Linked DNA regions of Macaca fascicularis. The main gene of each other region encodes a partner of the protein of the gene in region 4 in a complex. Links are inferred from orthologs where the notes say so. Each region holds a gene or a part of one and is shown on either strand. Other genes may lie near its edges.

The links.
Region 1: the proteins of MYO6 (region 4) and GIPC2 are in contact, whole or in part, in a crystal structure (PDB 5V6H), measured with the Mus musculus proteins. The link is inferred for Macaca fascicularis from reciprocal best matches to the Homo sapiens genes MYO6 and GIPC2. Residues at the interface, in NP_001034635.2 of Mus musculus: Ser1055, Lys1056, Trp1057, Lys1058, Tyr1059, Arg1084, Arg1085, Leu1086, Val1088, Tyr1089, Trp1092, Lys1093, Asn1096; in NP_058563.1 of Mus musculus: Glu255, Leu256, Tyr257, Met258, Gly259, Ile260, Asp262, Asp264, Leu265, Thr268, Thr289, Leu290, Asp292, Phe293, Ala294, Pro296.
Region 2: the proteins of MYO6 (region 4) and CLTA are in contact, whole or in part, in an NMR structure (PDB 6E5N), measured with the Homo sapiens proteins. The link is inferred for Macaca fascicularis from reciprocal best matches to the Homo sapiens genes MYO6 and CLTA. Residues at the interface, in NP_001355794.1 of Homo sapiens: Met1053, Thr1054, Pro1055, Met1058, Ala1059, Met1062, Ser1087, Trp1089, Lys1090, Tyr1091, Glu1113, Arg1117, Leu1118, Val1120, Tyr1121, Trp1124, Asn1128; in NP_009027.1 of Homo sapiens: Glu47, Asn48, Glu50, Ala51, Phe52, Ile54, Leu55, Asp56, Gly57, Gly58, Ala59, Pro60, Gly61.
Region 3: the proteins of MYO6 (region 4) and TOM1 are in contact, whole or in part, in a crystal structure (PDB 6J56), measured with the Homo sapiens proteins. The link is inferred for Macaca fascicularis from reciprocal best matches to the Homo sapiens genes MYO6 and TOM1. Residues at the interface, in NP_001355794.1 of Homo sapiens: Ile1182, Phe1184, Trp1202, Gln1214, Glu1216, His1218, Asp1220, Lys1221, Pro1222, Ile1224, Leu1226, Glu1234, Met1235, Cys1236, Leu1238, Glu1242, Thr1243, Gly1244, Leu1245, Arg1247; in NP_005479.1 of Homo sapiens: Ser440, Glu441, Phe443, Phe446, Leu447, Arg450, Ala451, Ala453, Ala454, Asp455, Leu457, Pro458, Asn459, Leu460, Ser461.

What each region holds. Positions count from the first base shown.
Region 1 is NC_088375.1:156,577,073-156,581,871, reverse strand, and holds the start of GIPC2 (PDZ domain-containing protein GIPC2), read left to right. Parts: upstream 1-1,440; 5' UTR 1,441-1,506; coding exon 1,507-1,746; exon of another isoform or gene 1,747-1,914; intron 1,915-2,144; exon of another isoform or gene 2,145-2,253; intron 2,254-4,799.
Region 2 is NC_088389.1:63,161,499-63,166,492, reverse strand, and holds the start of CLTA (clathrin light chain A), read left to right. Parts: upstream 1-1,684; 5' UTR 1,685-1,778; coding exon 1,779-1,995; intron 1,996-4,994. UniProt on the Homo sapiens protein: Clathrin is the major protein of the polyhedral coat of coated pits and vesicles.
Region 3 is NC_088384.1:16,339,951-16,344,184, reverse strand, and holds part of TOM1 (target of Myb1 membrane trafficking protein), read left to right. Parts: exon of another isoform or gene 1-1,191; intron 1,192-1,498; exon of another isoform or gene 1,499-1,529; intron 1,530-2,351; coding exon 2,352-2,468; intron 2,469-4,234.
Region 4 is NC_088378.1:99,369,774-99,374,765, reverse strand, and holds the start of MYO6 (unconventional myosin-VI), read left to right. Parts: upstream 1-1,841; 5' UTR 1,842-2,026; intron 2,027-4,992. UniProt on the Homo sapiens protein: Myosins are actin-based motor molecules with ATPase activity. Unconventional myosins serve in intracellular movements. Myosin 6 is a reverse-direction motor protein that moves towards the minus-end of actin filaments.

The DNA.
Region 1 (4,799 bases), on a different chromosome or scaffold from region 4:
CATCTGCTAACCTTAAGTTGAGAAACACGGATTTTCTGGACTGAATTGATGTGAGAGGTGAGGGAAAAGGAAAAATCCTGATACAACGACTCCACAATGTCTGGTCTGGGAGTGCTTGGTGATCCTATTATCAGAAAGAAAAGAAAAGAAAAGAAAAGATACATTCAGGAGAAATGATGAGGTCAGTTTTGTTTAGTCTCAATTTGAGTTTCCTACAGTACATTCCCTTTCTGGTAGAATAAGCTGGAGGTGGAGATATTTGGTAGACAGCAACCTCTGTGAAACTGAGAATGTTGATGTGGTCATACAGGAAGAACATGCAAAGCTAAGTAAGAAGGGAAGATAGTGGAGGAAAAACTGTCGGTGAATACAATTCCTGGAGAGTAGCAGTTAGCAAGGAGCAGGGTGGAGGATGGGGAGAGGAGAGGTAAGTAAGCTAAAATAGGACAAAATTTAAGAAGAATAAAATGGGCAACGCAGATCAAGTAAGATAAAGACCTAAAATAATTACTTGTGTTTGGTAATTAAGATATGATAGTGATTTCACTCCACTGAAATTGCATAGTAAGTGAAATTTCAGTAGAGTGTGGGGGCAAAGTCTGATCACAGTGCGTCTAAGAGCAGAGAAGAAGTGAGGAAATTTCGTAGCTAATAATTCAAGACTGTTCTGCTTTGTTGTAAAAAACGTAGTTGGAGGGGACTGGACTTGAAAACAATGCAATAAACGCGGGGTGGGGAATTGAGGGAACTCATACTTCACACCGAATGGCTTCAATTTTCTTTGTACTATATGAGGTAAGGTCCTCTGTAGAGACTAAGAAGGGCAGAGCTGGGGCAAATGACTTTGGAGGCGTGCTGAATGTTGGGAGAGGAAGCGGCCCAGGAAATAGGCAAAAGGAAAACTCAGAGGGGCCGAGGACCCGGCTGAGGGTGTTTATGAATTCGACGTAGCACCAAGCTCAAGGTTATGTGACTTTCTCTTCCAATTCTGCCCTGCAGAGTGTAAGACGCAGAAAATGCAGACGAAGGTTGACTTCTACTTAAATCCCTATCCCCAAAAGCCCAGACGTACGGACTCGAAGGCCTATGGCCAGATCGTGCCTGGGTGCCTACTACAGATTTATGAAAAGCACCTAAGGGCCAGCGTGTTTGCCTTCTAAGGCGTACTGTTCCGCAGCGTCGGCATCCTCAGGCCTTCACGGAAATCGAGCCATTTTTTACAAGGAGTGGGGATAAACCTGGTGATCGGATGAGGGACTACGCGTAACTTTCTTTCTCTCCAGATCCATCCCGGAGGAGGCTGGGCGGGCGGACGGGCGGGCGGCTGCTCCGGTCCAGGGGTGGAGGTCGAGGCCCCGACCCGACGCAGCCAGGCGGAAGCGCGGCTGCCATTGGCCCAGAGGCTGCTTTTACCTGCGCGGGGCCCGGGGCGCAAAGTCCGAGGCGCCGGCGGGGAGGAGGCGGCGGCCGGCAGTGCAGGTGGGCCCGCGCCCTCGGCCCTGCAAGATGCCCCTGAGGCTACGGGGGAAGAAGAAGGCCAAGTCCAAGGAGACCGCCGGGCTGGTGAAGGGCGAGCCGACGGGCGCGGGCGGCGGGAGCCCCTCAGCGTCCCGGGCTCCCGCACGCAGGCTGGTCTTCCACGCGCAGCTGGCGCACGGGAGCGCCACGGGCCGAGTGGAGGGCTTCTCCAGCATCCAGGAGCTCTACGCCCAGATCGCGGGCGCGTTTGAGATTTCGCCGTCGGAGGTAAGGCGTCAGGTGCTCACGCTCTCCCGCCTCTCCGCCGCGCCGCGCGGACTTTGGTGGGCCTAGGAGGGTTGAGCGGCGCTTCCCGGAGCGCGAAATCCATGCCGTGTTGAGTCCGCCGGGGGCGTCCCGAGGGGAAGTGAGTGGGCCTTCCCGGGAAGGGAAAAGGTAAGTTGGCACGACCGGAGGAAGTCACCTTCCCCCTTGCTCCGAGATCTGGCCTTTGGGAAGCGGGTTGGGGGAGGCAACCTTTCTTCCGCTTGTAAATGTGTTTGCTCCAGATGTCCCGGATTCCGGCGGCCGTTCAAGGTGTGAGTACCTTCCCAGACTAGCGATCTGGCGGGGCAGGTTAATACCCTCCACCTCATCTGGACGTTACTCTCCTGTTTCCTCCGCAGGCGTGAGAGTCACGCAGGTCATCTCCCCAGATTAACGGAAAAAAAAAATTGAAGTGCCTTCCAGGTGATACCCAGATTAAATGGGGGGAAAAATTGAAGAGCCTTCCAGGTAATACGAAACGGAGGCCCACTTTCCCCCAATCTGTCATTTCTAACATCAACACCAGAAATCCTTGGGTGGTATTTCCAAGAAGTTTAAAAAGCTGGGCTGTTATTCCAAGAGTGGATAACCTAGAGATTCATACTTAATCCCATGGGACTAGTTAACAAAATTTTCATGAGGAAAATCAGCTCTTTTACATCATATCCTTAAAACGGGACTGAAATTTGCTTTAATTAGATTGCATGCGGGCCTGGAACTAAGTTTGACACAGGCATGACCGAAAGCACTAGTTTATGCGAACGTTTATGTGATCACTTTATTTGTGCTAACCCAAGTGAACTGCAAAGGTAGGTGTGAGAAGTTAGCTCAACAAAATATTTTGTCCACATTTCTAGGAAAAGCACATAATTTTGTTGCCCTGGACTCGCAGTAGTGCAGAGAGCTGTCTTTAAGTGGCATACAGCGGCACCTGGAGTTCTTTAATTAGTTGTTTATCAGGTCTGTTCAAGGGAAATCGAGGTCAAGGCAAAATTCCAAGAGGAGACGAAAGACCTTAAAGTGTAACCCTTTGTTCTTTCGAAGTTCCCAGGTACTAAGGGGCAAATCGTAAACCCATCTGTGAATTATTTGTATTGATATAGGTTACTAATAATAATACTTTACATTTATGTAGGATTTTTTTTTTTTTTCAAAAAACACTTTCACAGGACACTTTCCTTTGATCTCTAGGGGAGGCAGGTGGCAGGTTAAACGCGATAACTTGGACATGGACCCAGGTTCTACCATTTATGAGCTGTGTGGACTTGAATGAGTTTAACTTCTCTCAGTTTTAGCCATCTATAAAATAGAGATTAGAATACTTGTCTTGAAGAGTGTTGTGAAGAGTGGAGTCTGCATGTAAACGTATCAGATTGCATAGTTTATCAGGGCTTAATACATGGTAACTAAAATTATTAATACCTAACAGTTAAATGAAGGGCTGAAGTGCAAAGTGATTGGCCCTTAGCCAAGGTCACATACCTAGCAAGAAAAAAAACTGGGCTGTAATTTAAACTTGGATCTTCTGATTCCTAAGCTAGTGAGCTTGTTAGTATACTTAACTGACAGCTTTAAATGTCTTTCCTGTAACCAGGGACTTCAGTTTTAGTTACAGATGGTCCTGGGTTTATGATAGTTAGACTTAAGATTTTTGACTTTGCCATGGATTTATTGGGATGTAACTTCCTGGACTTAAGATTTTTCCACTTTCTGGGTTTATTGGGGTATTAAATGCATTTTCACCTTATGGTATTTTTGACTCACAATGGATTTATTGGGACATAACACCTTGGTAAGTAGAGGAGTATCTGTATTTTGCATTAACACTTCTCCTCATCATTATATATGACATTATTCTGAGCTCAGGGTACATGATTTTATTCAATCTACTTAATCCCTAAGAAGTAAGTATTATTATTAATATCTCCACTTTACAGAGAGGAAACAGACTTTGAGGTTCAGAATTTTTTCAGAATTACACGTAGCAAGTGGCAGAGCCTGGATTTGAACTCAGTGTATTCTTTTTTTTGTTTTCTGTTTTTCTTTCTTTTTTTTTTTTAATGAGATGGGGTCTCACTCTGTTGCCCAGGCTGGAGTACAGTGGTGTGATTGTAGCTCACTGCAGCTTCTAACTCCTAGGCTCAGGCAATCCTCCTGCTTCAACCTCCCAAGTAGCTGGGACTACAGGCATGTGCCACCACATCTGCCTAATTAAAAACCTTTTTTTTAGAGATGTGGTTTTTCTACGTTGCTCAGGGTGGTTTGAACTCCTACTCTCAAGGGATCCTCCTACCTCAGTCTTTTGAATAGCACAGACATGGAGCCATTGTGCCCATCTTTTTTTTTTTTCCCTCCCATGAAGATATATTGTTTCCCAAGTTTTCCAGAGTCTCAGCAATAGTTTGGTAGCCACTTTCAACATTTTCAGTGTACTGACTTGCAAGGTCAGTTTCCAAGATAATGTACACGAGGTGTTTTCACGTGTTACCTCAAAGTTTATAACATTTTATAACTCCAGTATATATGTATTTTATCATGTTTATGCATGTAACCAACATTAATGCAAGTTTTCCATCTGTATAAAAAAAGTTAATCATATGCAGGATAAAGTATTGGTCATCATAGGATAGTATGCATAATATTTCAGTGGTTCACTTTGAAACAGAAGTAACTTATTAAAATGAAATGCACACCAAGGAGATTCCATTTTTGTAGCCCATTTACTCAGCAAGCAATTACCTCAATAATGATGTAAATAACTTTTTTTTGCTGATTTTTGTTTTTTGAGATGGAGTATTGTTCTGTTGCCTGGGCTGGAGTGCAGTGGCACAATCTTGGCTGACTGCACCCTCCACCTCGTGGGTTCAGGTGATTCTCCTGCCTCAGCCTACCTAATAGCTGGGATTACGCACCACCATGCCTGGCTAATTTTTGTATTTTTAGTAGAGATGGGTTTCACCATGTTGGCCAGTCTGGTCTTGAACTCCTGACCTCAGGTGATCTGCCCGCCTCGG
Region 2 (4,994 bases), on a different chromosome or scaffold from region 4:
CCAATTCTGAGTGTATACATGTTTGTTGCTTTTGCATAATATGTAATGCCTCCTCTAGCAAGGGAATCACAGGAGAGCTTCTCCCAAAGTCATGCATTTCCCCAGAAAGAATGCTGTCTGTTCCAGAGCTACTACTGTTGTGAGCAACTAAAAGTTGTCTTCCTTGGGCTCTCTCATAGTGGTCCCTGCCCCTCTCTTCCTCATGAGACTATGTCAAGGCTAATGTGAAAATACTTCATGCACTGTTGAAAATGTATGTTAGGGATGAGCACAAAACAACAGACAGGGGAAACAGAATCAATTGCAGACCCTAACATTTTAACTTTCTTAAATGTTTTTCTTCAATACTTTCCTATAGCTCGTACTTTAAATGACTTTAAAATTATGCTTTAAGTAAACATAGGCTTTAAATAGTTTTTATTTGCTTCATTTTTCCTTCATAACTATCCCTTTTTTTTGTCATCAAAGATATGTGCGTTTTTTTTAAAAAAAAAAAACTTTCTTGTCCCCTGCTATCTCTGGAAGCTTCTTGTTGACCTCTGGCTGGTTTTTTAGTTTCTTTTTTTGGCTTTTCATTTCTTAGGGGGGTGGTGGTGGTGGTGAAGGAGGTCTTCTGGTGGCCCCTGCATCAGCGCACCCCCTCAACATGAGCATGATTAACTGGAATCACTGTTATTTCTACGGTGTAGACAAAATCAGCCATGTAGCTATTAACATCTCCCCGATTTAAAAAGAAACACTGAACTTTCTTTTTCCTGCTGTCCTTAGCGAGGAAAGGTGTAAACACAAGAGACTGTAGCTAGTATCTTGGAAGTCCCCAGGAGACAGGCGTTTCCTCTTGGTCACTGACTCCCTGGGTGACTGACGCCCCTTGAACAGCAGGGCCACCGTGTTTCCCTTTGAAGCAAGTGATCCTTAAGGAATTTTCCAGGTTTAGTAACTTCTGTCTAGCTCTGAAAAGACGTAATGGCTGCAAAAGTGCTTCGTTGAAGAAAATAAGATATATTCATTTTTAAATAAAAATACTTATGGGCGAGAAAAATCGGAGTGGACTTGATCAATTACAGTAAATCTGTGGGCTCTAAGGGAGCAAATAATCCAGGCTGGCTGAAAGAGTTAAATATTTTAAATTTATAAAGCCAGGGCAAACACATAAAAGGATTCAATCTTCTTCTTCTTCTTCTTCTTCTTCTTCTTCGTTTTTTAAGGATTCAATCTTCTAACAATCCCGGGAGGGGGGCAAGAGCAGGGTTCTTGTTTCCATTTTAAGAATGAGGAAACTGAGGTTCAGAAAGCCTAAGTGGCATGCCTCTTTAGTAATCGGCCAATCGTCGCCGCCTAACTTCACCTCACCTCCCAGTACAGCACTCGAGTCCCCTCAGGGGTGGCCGTCCCTGGTCAGTCCAGCTCCAGCAGGCCGGGACGGTAGGACGTTCCCTGTCAGGCAGCACTTCCGCCTCCCGGGGCCCGTGCAGCTCACCTCCTTCACCTCCCGCGCTACCCCAGTCACGAGTTGTTTTCGGGGGCCCGCCCCTCCACTTGCTGATTGGGTAGCTCCTGAACCATTGCTGTCCTCTGATTGGTTGTTCCTTTTTTGGCTCTCCAACACCGCCTAGACCGACCGGATACACTGGTAGGGCTTCCGCTTCCCCCTTCTCCCTCCTCCCGCTTGTCCTCCTCTCCCAGTCGGCACCACAGCGGTGGCTGCCGGGTGTGGTGTCGGTGGGTCGGTTGATTTTTCTCTCACCGTTGGTGTCCGTGCCGTTGAATTGCCCGCCATGGCTGAGCTGGATCCATTCGGCGCCCCTGCTGGCGCCCCTGGCGGTCCCGCGCTGGGGAACGGAGTGGCCGGCGCCGGCGAAGAAGACCCGGCCGCGGCCTTCTTGGCGCAGCAGGAGAGCGAAATTGCGGGCATCGAGAACGACGAGGCCTTCGCCATCCTGGACGGCGGCGCCCCCGGGCCCCAGCCGCACGGCGAGCCGCCGGGGGGTCCGGGTGAGAGTGCGGTCGCGTTTGGGGCGAGAGGACTTGTCTGGAAACTCGGCCCACAGTGGGTCCGAGAGGTTCTGTGTGACTTGTGCTCCTTGCTGAATTAGGAGGTTAGGGAGCAGTGCGAAGAGGAAACGAGACCCTGGCCCAGTCATGCAGAAACCTAGGCTCGAGAAGCCTGCTCGGTTCTCAGCGTGTTTGAGTGCTTCTGGGCGCGGGCGGAGCGAGAAAGCAAGTATAGGGTGGCAGGCTTCGGAGCCGGAAGAAGCCCGTTCAATTCAGCAACTTTTCATTAAGCACTTGCTGTGCCTTTAGTCCGGTCTCTGAAGCAACCGCATTGGCGCAGTTTTTCCAGACTTATAAGCAAGTCTGAGCCGAGCACAGAACTCCAGTTATTAGAAAAGGAGGGCAGAAAAAAAATAAGAATGGAAATACTGTTTTTTGAGAGATACAAACAAAAGTAGCAATGCAGTTCAGCATTTAAGCACTTAAGGTGTACAGAGTGTTGGATTACGAGGAGGAAGGAGTGAGTAGGGAACTCAGGAAAGATGGTCTAGGTCTGGAGAAAGAACTGCCAAGCGGGATAGGAGTTTACCATGGTTGAGCGATTGATTTACAGCTAGGACTTACGGAGCTCTCCCTCTGGGAACAGCTTTGGTAGGCAATAGTGCCTAAGTAGAACCCACGATTAGCCTAAACCAATCGGGGAGGGATGAAGAGGTGAATAGAGAATGTTCTCAGCCAAACTCAAGTAAAAATGGGGCAGGTAGGATGGCAGTTTGACTTTTGGATGCTTACCTGTGTGTGATCCTTAGGATCATGAGTGGAAAAGACCTATTTAATAATACAGAGAAGTAGGAAATTCAGCCAGAAGAAATGAAATATGGCTTTTCATTCACTTAAAAATTTCCAACTAAGGGAGAATAGCGCACTATTGGGGCATATAGGAGTAGTGTCTACACTAATCTGATTTCAAACCTTAAGGGGCCAAGTAGGTAACATATACGAGAGAAGCTGACTTGACATGAGACAGTAGAAGTGTTGGAGACTGGGACTTTGGTGCACTATAGTAGTGCTCTGTGTAAAGGCATTCAGACCCAGCAATCTCAAGTTACTATGCCAGCCAGGCAGAACCTTTCGATGGATGGATTGGGGAGGGTGCTGCTAGTTTGCAGCCTCTGAGTTTTTGACTGCACCATGTTGCTTCCTAAGCAAATCAGTCCCCTAATAAGAACTTAGTGGGAACATGTAATATGCCCAAATATGCAACTTTATAGCAAGTAGGTTGGACTGAACTGGACTGTGATTGCGAGATGAAGTTGGCCTTAAGTGATTAGGAGATATTTTCATTGGGTGGTCTCTAACATTTGTCTGAGAATTTTAAAATTGACTTCTTAGATCCTTAGTTTACCTTCCTCGTTTAGTAGAAGAGAAACAATCCTAGAGAGAAATAACTTGCTTTAAAAAGCACGAGTTAATAGATGAGCCCCAAGTCTACCACATTCTGTTGTAGTGTTTAGTTGTTTTAGCCGGGGTGTGGTGCGGTAAGAGACAGGCAGTTGTGGCTGTCCCAGGTAGAACAGATTTGGGAGAAGCAGGACCCAAGATCTATAGTTGGAAGATTGTCCTGATTCAAGGACAGTGTTACCCTTACTGTTTTATCTCCACTACTTAGCAGTGTGTCTGACATGTAGTAGATGCTCACGTTTGACAGAGAAATGGGCAAAAATGTCAGATCCAAGGGTCCTGTGTAGAACTGACAGATCTTGGTGACAGGCAGTTAGGGAAAGTAAAAGGAAGAGAATAGAGTTGGATACTTGCGTCCTTTGTGCATCAAGCCTTCAGCAAAGGGAAGGAAAGAAATGGTTGCTGACTTAGTTCCTAGGAAGGACTTTCTTAGTGAACTAAGCATTTGGTGACTTAAAGCCAGATTCCTGACAGTGTAATTGAGGTTGGTAATATGCAGTGGTCAGCATTTCCTTTGGGGATTAGAGAACTGATTGGACACTTTTTCTCTCTTAGTTTTCTTTTTCCTTCTTTCTTTTTTTTTAGGATATGCTCCAGTGGTTAAGATTCTATGCTATCCTAAACTGCTTGAGTGTGAGTTTAGCTTTGTGATCTCAATGTATATAACTACCACCACTGCCCGGCCTCAGTTTTCTCCTTTGTAAAAGTTGCATAATATAATTTATAATGCTATGTGGCATCTTTAGGATTACATTAAAGAGTGTCTATAAAGTGCTTACAGTTATATAGTAAGTATCCAGTGAATTCCAGCTACTGTTAGTGGGAGAAAGGAGTTACAAGGCCTTTAGGCTTTGAAGTGTACTGAGTAAATTGAGAGGTTTTAGGCGGGAGCTCTCTTTCTGATGTATTATACAGAGGTATATAGGCAGTCAGCTATGACAGATTGATGAGAGGAAACTAAACTGGCCCCCAGCCTTGCGGAATGCTCCTATGGAGGATGGGCACAGGCAAAAACCAGAGAGGTTAGGGCTGAGCCTTGGATGACTCCCTTGGTTGTTAAGAGATCCAGAAAAAGAGACATAGGTTTAGAGGCAGGAAGTAACCAGCTGGGTGAAGTGATATTGAGGTAACCAGCTGGGGGGGATATTGAGGAAGAACAGGTGGTCTTGAAGGAGGCAGCACAAGTAGAGCTGTTGAAAAGCTCTCAATCATGAGGGCTGAGTGGGGGAAGAGAACAGGAGAGACAGGCCACAGACAGAGTACTGCAGTGAGGCACTATTACGGTGTTTTGTTGATTTGAGACAGAGCCTCGCTCTGTCGCCCAGGCTGGAGTGCAGTGGTGTGATCTTGGTTTACTGCAACCTCTGCCTCCTGGGTTCAAGCAGTTCTCCTGCCTCAGCCTCCCAAGTAGCTGGGATTACAGGTGTGTACCACCATGTTCAGCTAATTTTTGTATTTTTCTTAGAGACGGGGTTTCACCATGTTGGCCAGGCTGGTCTCGAACTCCTGACCCCAAGTGATCTTCCTGACTCGGCCTC
Region 3 (4,234 bases), on a different chromosome or scaffold from region 4:
CTAGACTTTTGGCTGCTGGGGTGGGGGCAGAGTCCTGCACACTGTGGGAGCACCCACATTAGAGGTGTTGTACACGCATCAGACCCATCACATCAGTGCAGCTTAAAGGCGGAGCTACTGCGTGTGCTGGTGAAGAAGACACGGATGCATGATGGAGAAAAAAGTGAAGCTTAACTTTCCCAATAAGCGTCCTCAGGACCCGCTTTATGTATCATTTGAACTCATTCTAACCCTAACCTATTTGAAGAGAAACTTCCGTGACTTGTTTTCTCTTAGCAAGTTGTGAAATCACCCCCCAGAGTTACAAATATTACTAGAAAATGTTGCTAACTGGACAAAATTATTAACACATTGCCTGTTTACCCCAAGGATACTCTTGTCTCTAATCCTAATGTAACATCATATACATTTCTGTTACATTAGGATTGGAGACGAGTTCTGTTTAGAAATAACTCCAAGAACAGTTTTTATGTTTTATTTTCATGTTAAAAATAGTCAGGTTTACTTCAGCCTCAAAGAGCGTGTTTATGTAAAATTAAATGAGTGCTGACAGCGAGCTGCACTTTTTTTTTCTGAATGGGTTAAAAGTGTGTAAAAAATTGTAAAAGCACCTTATGATCCAAAAAATTGTCTAACTCAGTTACGATTTTAACCAGTTGCCTGTAGTCTAGCATCTATGTGGATTAAGATGCTAATTACTCCTAATTCAAGAAGGTGCTTGCTAAACAAAACTAATCTTTGTTTAATTCAAGAGTCCCCTTTTGTCTCTTGGGACATGTGAAGACATCAGGTGTGCAGTGATGTTACTCCCAGGCTCCTTTGTAATTAAGTCTGATTTGGATGCAGGGGGTTTGTGATCAGTAGTTTTTCCACTCACTCATACCAAGAGTATTCATTAAGTCAGCCAAATAGATCAAACATTTTGCAGGTTTTGGAAGGTGTCAATGAACCATAGTGGATATACTACTTGTCTCTACATTCTATTTCTTCGTCTGTAAAAGCAGGGGTATTGATATCTACCTATGGCAAAAAATTAAGTTAGCAATATATGTTCAATGCTTGGCACTTATTAGGTAGTCTATAAATGGTAGCTACTATCACAATCATGAATGTATATAGTGACACTCTGAAATCAACTATAACTCAGCCACATGATTTACAATGTACCAGCATTTCTCAAAACGTAAAAAGGTGGCCGGGCGCGGTGGCTCAAGCCTGTAATCCCAGCACTTTGGGAGGCCGAGACGGGCGGATCACTAGGTCAGGAGATCGAGACCATCCTGGCTAACACGGTGAAACCCCGTCTCTTCTAAAAAATACAAAAAACTAGCCGGGCGAGGTGGCGGGCGCCTGTAGTCCCAGCTACTCAGGAGGCTGAGACAGGAGAATGGCCCGAACCCGGGAGGCGGAGCTTGCAGTGAGCTGAGATCCGGCCACTGCACTCCAGCCTGGGCGACAGAGCGAGACTCCGTCTCAAAAAAAAAAAAAACGTAAAAAGGTTCTTCAGTCAAATAAATCTTGGAAGCTTTCGTATCGATCTTTTCCTGGGCATCCCCAGTATGCATGAGGGTATTAAACACGCTACAAGGTCCCACAGCATAAGATCCTTATACCAATGGCCTTCCCCAACCTAACCTCTTTGAGGAGACTACAGCTTTATTGAAAATGTTTCCCCAAGCCCAATTCCTTGGAACCCTTTGACCATTGAAAACCTGCCCACATCCCTTGGAACAAGTGCTAAATCTGAGTTTCATATTCAAGGTGAGGGACACGGCAAGGACTATCCTTAGAAGAGCCTGAGACACCAAAACAGACAGAAACAAGACAAAATCCCAGTCCTTTAGGAGGAGAAAGAGGGCAGAAGCCTCCTAAGAGATAGAGAGAGGGCGGAATCCCAGTCCTCCGAGGAGGAGAGAGGGCAGAATCCCAGTCCTCTAAGGGGAGAGAGAGAGAGGGCCTGCAGCCTCCCTCCTCCTCCTGTGGGGAGCCACCCTCCAGGGCCTCGTTAGCTCCCGTGTTAGACCCAGGAGATGCTGGAGCCTTCCAGCCACACTTGGTGGCTCATTTCCCCTCAGTTCATTTCCTTTCGGCTTCTCCCTGCACCAGGCTCCCCGGTGTAGAGATGGTCACGGTTGGTAGTGCCTCTGTGAGGGGTCTGTAGGAGGGGTGGGGCAGGTCTCTAGTGCAGGGCTGTCACTGTGGGAGCCAGGAGGGAGGCTGCCTAGAGAGTCTGCTAGGAGGTGGGCTCCCTGGTGCTGCACCCAGGATTGGTGGTACTGGGTTCTGTCCCTGTGAGTGACATGGGCTCCAAACCCCTGGCTTCTCTCATCACGACCAACCGTGTGTTTCAGATTGGGAAGCTGCGCAGTGAGCTGGAGATGGTGAGTGGGAACGTGAGGGTGATGTCGGAGATGCTGACGGAGCTGGTCCCCACCCAGGTCGAGCCTGCAGACCTGGAGCTGCTGCAGGTGAGCAGATGGCACCACCCCGTGGGGCTCAGATGACTCCTGCCCAGTTGCCCACGTGCGTTCTTTCCCAGTCCTCATGACGGTCTTCATGGCTTACTCCATACTCCTTGGTCACAGTTGGGGCCATGTTACCACCAGGGACTTTGGACGCCATCAGGTTGGAATCAGACCGCAGCTCTACCACTTTCTGGTTTGAACAAAGTAGCCCCCCCTTGCCTCAGTTTCCTCATCTGTAAGGTTGCTCTAACAATAGCCTTTATGGCACAAGTTTGATGTGAGAGTTAAATAAGGCATTGCATGGAAAACACCCAGGCTTGTCCCTGGCATCCAGTACGGGGTCCTGAGAAAAAGCTGGAAGGTGAGATTTCCACCATTCACAATCCGAGACTCAGCAGGCAGGTGTGAGAGGCTGGTGCCAGCCTTGAGGTGCGCCAGCCACTGGTCTTGGGGAGCCGAGGCAGGTGGAGCTAATGGTGCCTGCTCCCGTGTGTCACGTGGTATTGCCATGGCCCCAGCCCAGATTGGGGGTCACTGGAGCGGAAGGGGCACTGAATTTGGCAAAAAGCACCCTCCGCGTGGAGGTCGGTCATAGAGGCACCAAGAAAGCTAGGAATCCCCAAGGCCCAGGAGTCACCAGAATTCATGAGGGGACGGAGTGCTTTGTGTAACTGTGTGAGTTCCTGCTGCTTGTCCACCAGGCCTCAGACTCCTTGAGGGCAGCGCTGTGTCTTCCTCGCCACCGTGTCTGTGTGCCTGACCGAGCCGACTGTGCAGGGGTCCTCACTTGGTGGTGCAGGGTGGGGAGAAAAGGAGCAGCCTCAGAGTCGAATGAATACGCAAACTTGAAACCCAGTAAGGGCTCCGGAAGAGAGAAGACTGCGCAGGCAGCTTCGTACGCCCCAAGCCAAGGCCGTGAGGTGTGAGCAGTTTGGGGACTCAGAAGGCTGAGCAAGGTGGACGCAGAGACAGCTCCCATGCATTGGGCACTTCCCCTGCCCCGAGCTGTATGTGGACAGTTGGTTCACATCACTCACGTAATCCTCACCACCCCCATTTTCCAGGTCAGGAAACAGGCATAGGGAGATCAGATAACACGTCAAGGGTTATATGGCTGGTAAATAGCAGAGCTGCGATTTGAACCTGGCTCCAAGTGCTGCTCTTCTGCTCTTGAGAGGAGCCAGCAGGGAAGCAGAAGCAGAGCCACCCTGTGCTTAGTCATGAGAGCAGGAGGGGAGCCCACAGGATGTTGAAAGGACCCGCCCTGCCCCCGTGCTAAGGGCAATGAGGAAATCCCAGAGGCCTGACCTTGGAGGGGGCGGGGGACAGGGTCCACATGACAGCCAAAATAAACACTGGGCAGTGCCTAGCCTCAGCGTTGCCTCCAGGAGAAAGGCATGCTGGCGTGAGGCCGCAGTCGGCAATGCCAGGCAGCTCCCTGGACCTCAGGACCCAAGCACCTGCCCTGACCCAGGCACCTTCACCTGGTGACAGGTACCTGAAGAAACAATTGAGCAATCTTAAAAATGAAAACCCGTATGTCTATGGTTTTTTATTTTTTATTTTTTATTTTTTTTTGAGACGAAGTCTCACTCTGTCACCCAGGCTGGAGTGCAGTGGGTGCGATCTTGGCTCACTGCAGCCTCTGCCTCTTGGTCAAGCTATTCTCCTGCCTCAGCCTCCCAAGCAGCTGGGATACAGGCATACGTGACCACACCTGGCTGATTTTTGTATTATTAGTAGGCACAGGGTTTCACCTTGTTGGCCAG
Region 4 (4,992 bases):
GTGACTAGTGGCTAAATCAAGAAGGATCTTACAACATATCTTAAGTGGTTTGGACTTTACATCAAGAGTCAGAGAGTGCCATTACATAAACTTAAATAGTGGAGTACATAAAAGACAAACTGATGACGTTGTAAAGACTGGATTAGAAGGGGATAAAACTGCGGCCTGGGAAACTGGTTAGGTAACTAAGGCAATATGCAATACTTGAAATGATAGTGGCCTGAAACAAGATAATGGTGGTGGCTATAAAGAGGAATTTGATACATTAGAGAGATATTATAGAGCCAGAAGCAAAGGCACTCAGTAATGGATTGGAAGTGTGGGGCAAAGGAGAGAAAAAAAATCACGGAAGTCATTAGCTACAAAAAATCTTTAAAATGTATTGATTTCTCTAGGAGTGGTGGCTCACACTTGTAATCCCAGCACTTTGGGAGGCCAAGGTGGGAGAATCACTTGAGGCCAAGGTTCAAGATCAGCCTAGGCAACATAGCAAGCCCGTTTACCAACAACAACACAAAAAATTTAAGAAAATAAAAAAAAAGTATTGACTTCTATTGGTTTGCCAAATGAAGTTTTAGTATTAAATCCAAAATTGAGTCAGAACAGCGAACTGAGGCAGCCATCTTCATCTTCTCCCTCTTTTTTTCAGTTTGTTTTGAAATTTAGTTTTATATACTTAAGACTTACCTTCTGGCAATTTGGAATTAAATTTCTGAGATTGCTGTAAATTATTTCCGTTCTTTGTTTCTCTTCCTCTTTCTTACTTCCCTATTTTATTTTAAATATTTTATTGTTTTAGTTGAATGCTAAAACATCTTATCAGAACTTAGTTTTTAAATTTCTCCACCCAGAGAGCCGCGGAGCCTTTAAGTATCAGAAATTTGTCTCCTTGTCAGAATCTTCTAGATTTCCAGACGTTTCCAAGCCGCTACATATAAATGTTGGAGAAAAACGTGTAATTCTCATGTGTAAGTAGGCTCTTTTTTCAGCGGATACATTTAGCATTATAGTCAATTGTCATTTCCTTGCCTTAAAAGAAGCTGTTTTCATCGTAAAGGTGTTTTTTCACCACATAATTCAAATTTGCATAGGTACTTCATATTTTAAAAGGTGACTAACAGATATGTCACTTAAAAAAACAGTAACATTTAAACGACTGAGAAGGTAGGGCTCTAAAAAGTGAATGCGGTGGCGAGGGTGGGAGGGGGAAGAGGCAAACAGGTGCGAAATTCCCATCCCAAACTCCCTCCTACAAAGACCGAATGGCAACTTAGTTGTGCAGGAAGGTTCCTCCTTAGGAAGGGCAGACGGCCCGATCCGGAGCCGAGTGAACAGTGGTTCTTGCCGCAACCGCCACGCAGCCTCGCTGCCGCCCAAGCGCGGACACCTGGTTCCTGGGTCCCCCTGGTTCCTAGGTCCCCCGCGCGGAGCTCCGGACTCCTCGCCCCCTCTCCGAACAACTTTCTCCCTGCTTGAACTGATTCTCGCTGTTGGCAGACTGCACAGTCACAGCATCCAGCCGGAGAGGACCTGCTTCGTCGGGTCTGGAAACAACTACCGCGGCAAAGGAGGCCGTTTCGCCGTGGGAAGAACAACAACTCCAGGCTTGTCCCACGGCAGCCCCTCCCTGCGCCGCAAGGCGCCTTCCCCCGCCCCGGAGGCTCTGCGCCGCGGGCGGGGCGACCCCGGGGGTCGCGCGCCCTCTGCCGGAGCGCGCCCCCTCCCAGAGCGCGCGCCCGGCGGCCTGCCGCGGCCCCGGCGCCCCCGCCCCCTCGGGCGCTCCGTAGCCGTGACGTGCACGCCGCAGTGCCGGGGACTCGGCGGGGCGCCGGCCGGCGGGCGGAGACCGACTCGGGATCTGTCCGAGCAGGAAGCCAGCCGCAGCCCGGCTGCTGTCGCCGCCCCGTCCTGGTTCCCGTCCGCGTCGTCGCCCTCTTCACTGGCCCTCATCACTTCTCACTGCGCCCTCCAGCTTCACCCGCACAGGTAGCCCTGCCGCCGCGCACCTGCCTTTGCGCCTGCACCGGTGAGTGTCCCGGAGCCCCCGCTGCAGTGCGTCGGCGCCGGGGTCTCGCGGTCCCCGGCCCGGCCTTGCTCCCGGGCCTCCTGTAGCAGCTCCGGAGCCGACGCTTCTGTTCACTGCCCGAGGACGCGGGTGGGAGAAGCAGGTGATGGGTGGGCCCTGGGCAGCGGTGGGGCCGAGGTGGTTCTCGTTTCCACCGAGAGACAGTTTCCTTTCATGGGTTCTCATCACCAAGGTCCCTTTGTGTTTCTTCCCTGGCTCCCAGGTAGAAGCAGAGCACTCAGGTGCCTAACTCGGACTTGGACACTCCGTGATAGTTTTATTTTCTCTTTTGTAAACACGCTTAAAATTCAGCGCAGGGAGAGCGTAATTTGTTCTGAGATGTGAAGATCAAAGGATACCATTAATAGTCTAATCATGTAGGAGACCAGATTGAGACTTTCTAAAGCCTTATTCTTAGTCTCTAGGTAGTCCAGTACCTTGAATATGTCAATTTACGGATATGCTACTGAACAAGAACTTTTTTTGTTAATTTCCAAAAACTCCCGAAAACATTAAAATGCGCAAACTCTGGGATTTTAAGTAGAACATAATTTGATAGGGTTATTACTAGAACATCCATGTTTAAAAGTATTTCCGCACAGTTTAAAAAATTCATTACATCTTTTTTTTTTTTTTTTTTTTGAGACGGAGCCTCACTCTGGCGCCTAGGCTGGAGTGCAGTGGCGCGATCTCTGCTCACTGCAACCTCCACCTCACGGGTTCAAGCAGTTCTCTGCCACGGCCTCCCGAGTAACTGGGATTACAAGCGCCCACCACCACGCCCGGCTAATTTTTTTTGTATTTTTAGTAGAGACGAGGTTTCACCATCTTGGCCAGGCAGGTCTTGAAATCCTGACCTCATGATCCACCCGCCTCGGCCTCCCAAAGTGTTGGGATTACAGGCGTGAGCCACTGCGCCTGGCCAAAAATTCATTACATCTTATCTGGCATAAAGTGATGTGGTGGAGGGATGCTTAAATCCTGATTTACAAGTATTAGTGAGAAATGAGGAGTACTGCCCTAACTTAATAGACTGTACGGGCTAAACAAGACTCTTTTTTTTTTTTTTAATGCTCTGGTGGTATAGAGGCAGTCTAAATAAAGTCAGAATTTGAGAGTTTTAAAAATTAACATTTTTTTTTTGAGGCAGAGTCTCGCTCTGTCGGCTCACTGCAACCTCCACCTCCCGAGTTCAAGCGATTGCCCTGCCTCAGCCTCCCAAGTGGCTGGGACTGCAGGCTCACGCCACTGCTCAGCTAATTCTTGTATTTTTAGTAGGGACGGGGTTTCACCATGTTGGCCAGACTGGTCTCGAACTCTTGACCTCAAGTGATCCACTTGCCTCGGCCTCCCAAAGTGCTGGGATTACAGGTGTGAACCCCCGCGCCTGGACTAAAAATTAACACGCTTAAGGTTTAGCTGAAATTTATCTTCACACCATAAAACGTGAATCTTGAACTTGGACTGGTAGTGGTCATGGTACAAAGGTTGGCGGCAAAACAGCATTTCTGTACAAATTAACTGAATTTCCTAGATGTCTTGAGTTGTGGTTTTCAAACTGGAGAATGTTTAGTGAAAAAATTACCTTTGTGCCTTTTGCCCTTAATTGTAGAAACCGCCGCAAATGTTACAAAGTGGGCTGTAGCCAGAGCTCGAAACCATGCCGCCGTTCAAAATAGCTCACCGACTTTTATATATACAGCTCATTTTGAGTATTTTACGTTACTTAGGAATTGCATCCACATTGGTAAACAGAAGTCATTTTAGTCTTATGTACATTTACCTACTACTTTTGTATTTTGTGTGTGTGACATACTGTTTATCATTCTCTCATCTTTGTAAGTTACAATTTTGTTTTCAGAAACCATTGTAAATGTCAGTAACAGAAGTATGAATGACATTTAAGGAAAGATCATGATTAAAAACTGTATAAATATATAAAACTATGTATGGTGTACATGTATATTCTCGGTTAGTGCCCAGAAACATGAGCAAGAAAAATGTAATGAACAATTACAATATTTAACGTAAATTAATGCAATTAAATATTGTATTAAAAACAAAAGATCGTAAATCATAACCAGTAGGGATTATCTGAAATGGATTTTTTTCCCTGTTTATGTTTACATGGTCAAGTTTTAAAATAACAGTGGCCAGGAAATCTGAGAGAGGCTGAAGGCTCTGTTCTCATCCTGTTGTGACTTTGCCTGGAGTCTGTGGTGTATCATGTAGCCCATTGTTTAGACAACCCGGCTGTATCTGGGTTCCAAAATGTAGCTTTCTTTAGAAAATTTTAAAGACTTTGACCATGTGAGGCTTGAATGGATACAAACATCCAAACATTTGAAAAAAACTAACCCATTTTAACTTTCTGTTGATAGTTGAAGCTCCATTTTTGACATGTAAAATATCACTTTTAAGAAGAGTTTACTAACCTCTGTGTAGTTTTCATTTTTATATATTAAAATATCTTATCTAAAAATAAAATATTTAAAAGTGTTATAACTTAAATACATCTCAGAGTTTATTTATTCATTTTTTTTTTCCTCTCAGTTGGAGTCTTGCCCTGTCACCCAGGCTGTGCAGTGGCACGATTTCGGGTCTCTGTAACCTCAGTCTCCTGGGTTCAACTGATTCTCCTGCCTCAGCCTCCTGAGTAGCTGAGATTACAGGTGCCCATCACGACACCTGGCCAATTTTTGTATTATTAGTAGAGATGGGGTTTCACCATGTTGGCCAGGTTGGTCTCAAACTCCTGAGCTCAAGTGATTTTCCTGCCTTGGCCCCCCAAAGTGCTGGGATTGCGGTCTCATAGAGTTTAGTTATGATCCCCATAATGAGATATTTCATGGTAATTTGTGAACCGGCCCTTTACTACTATCAGATTGTTGCACATTTATTAGGCATCTACCATAATTGGACAGATC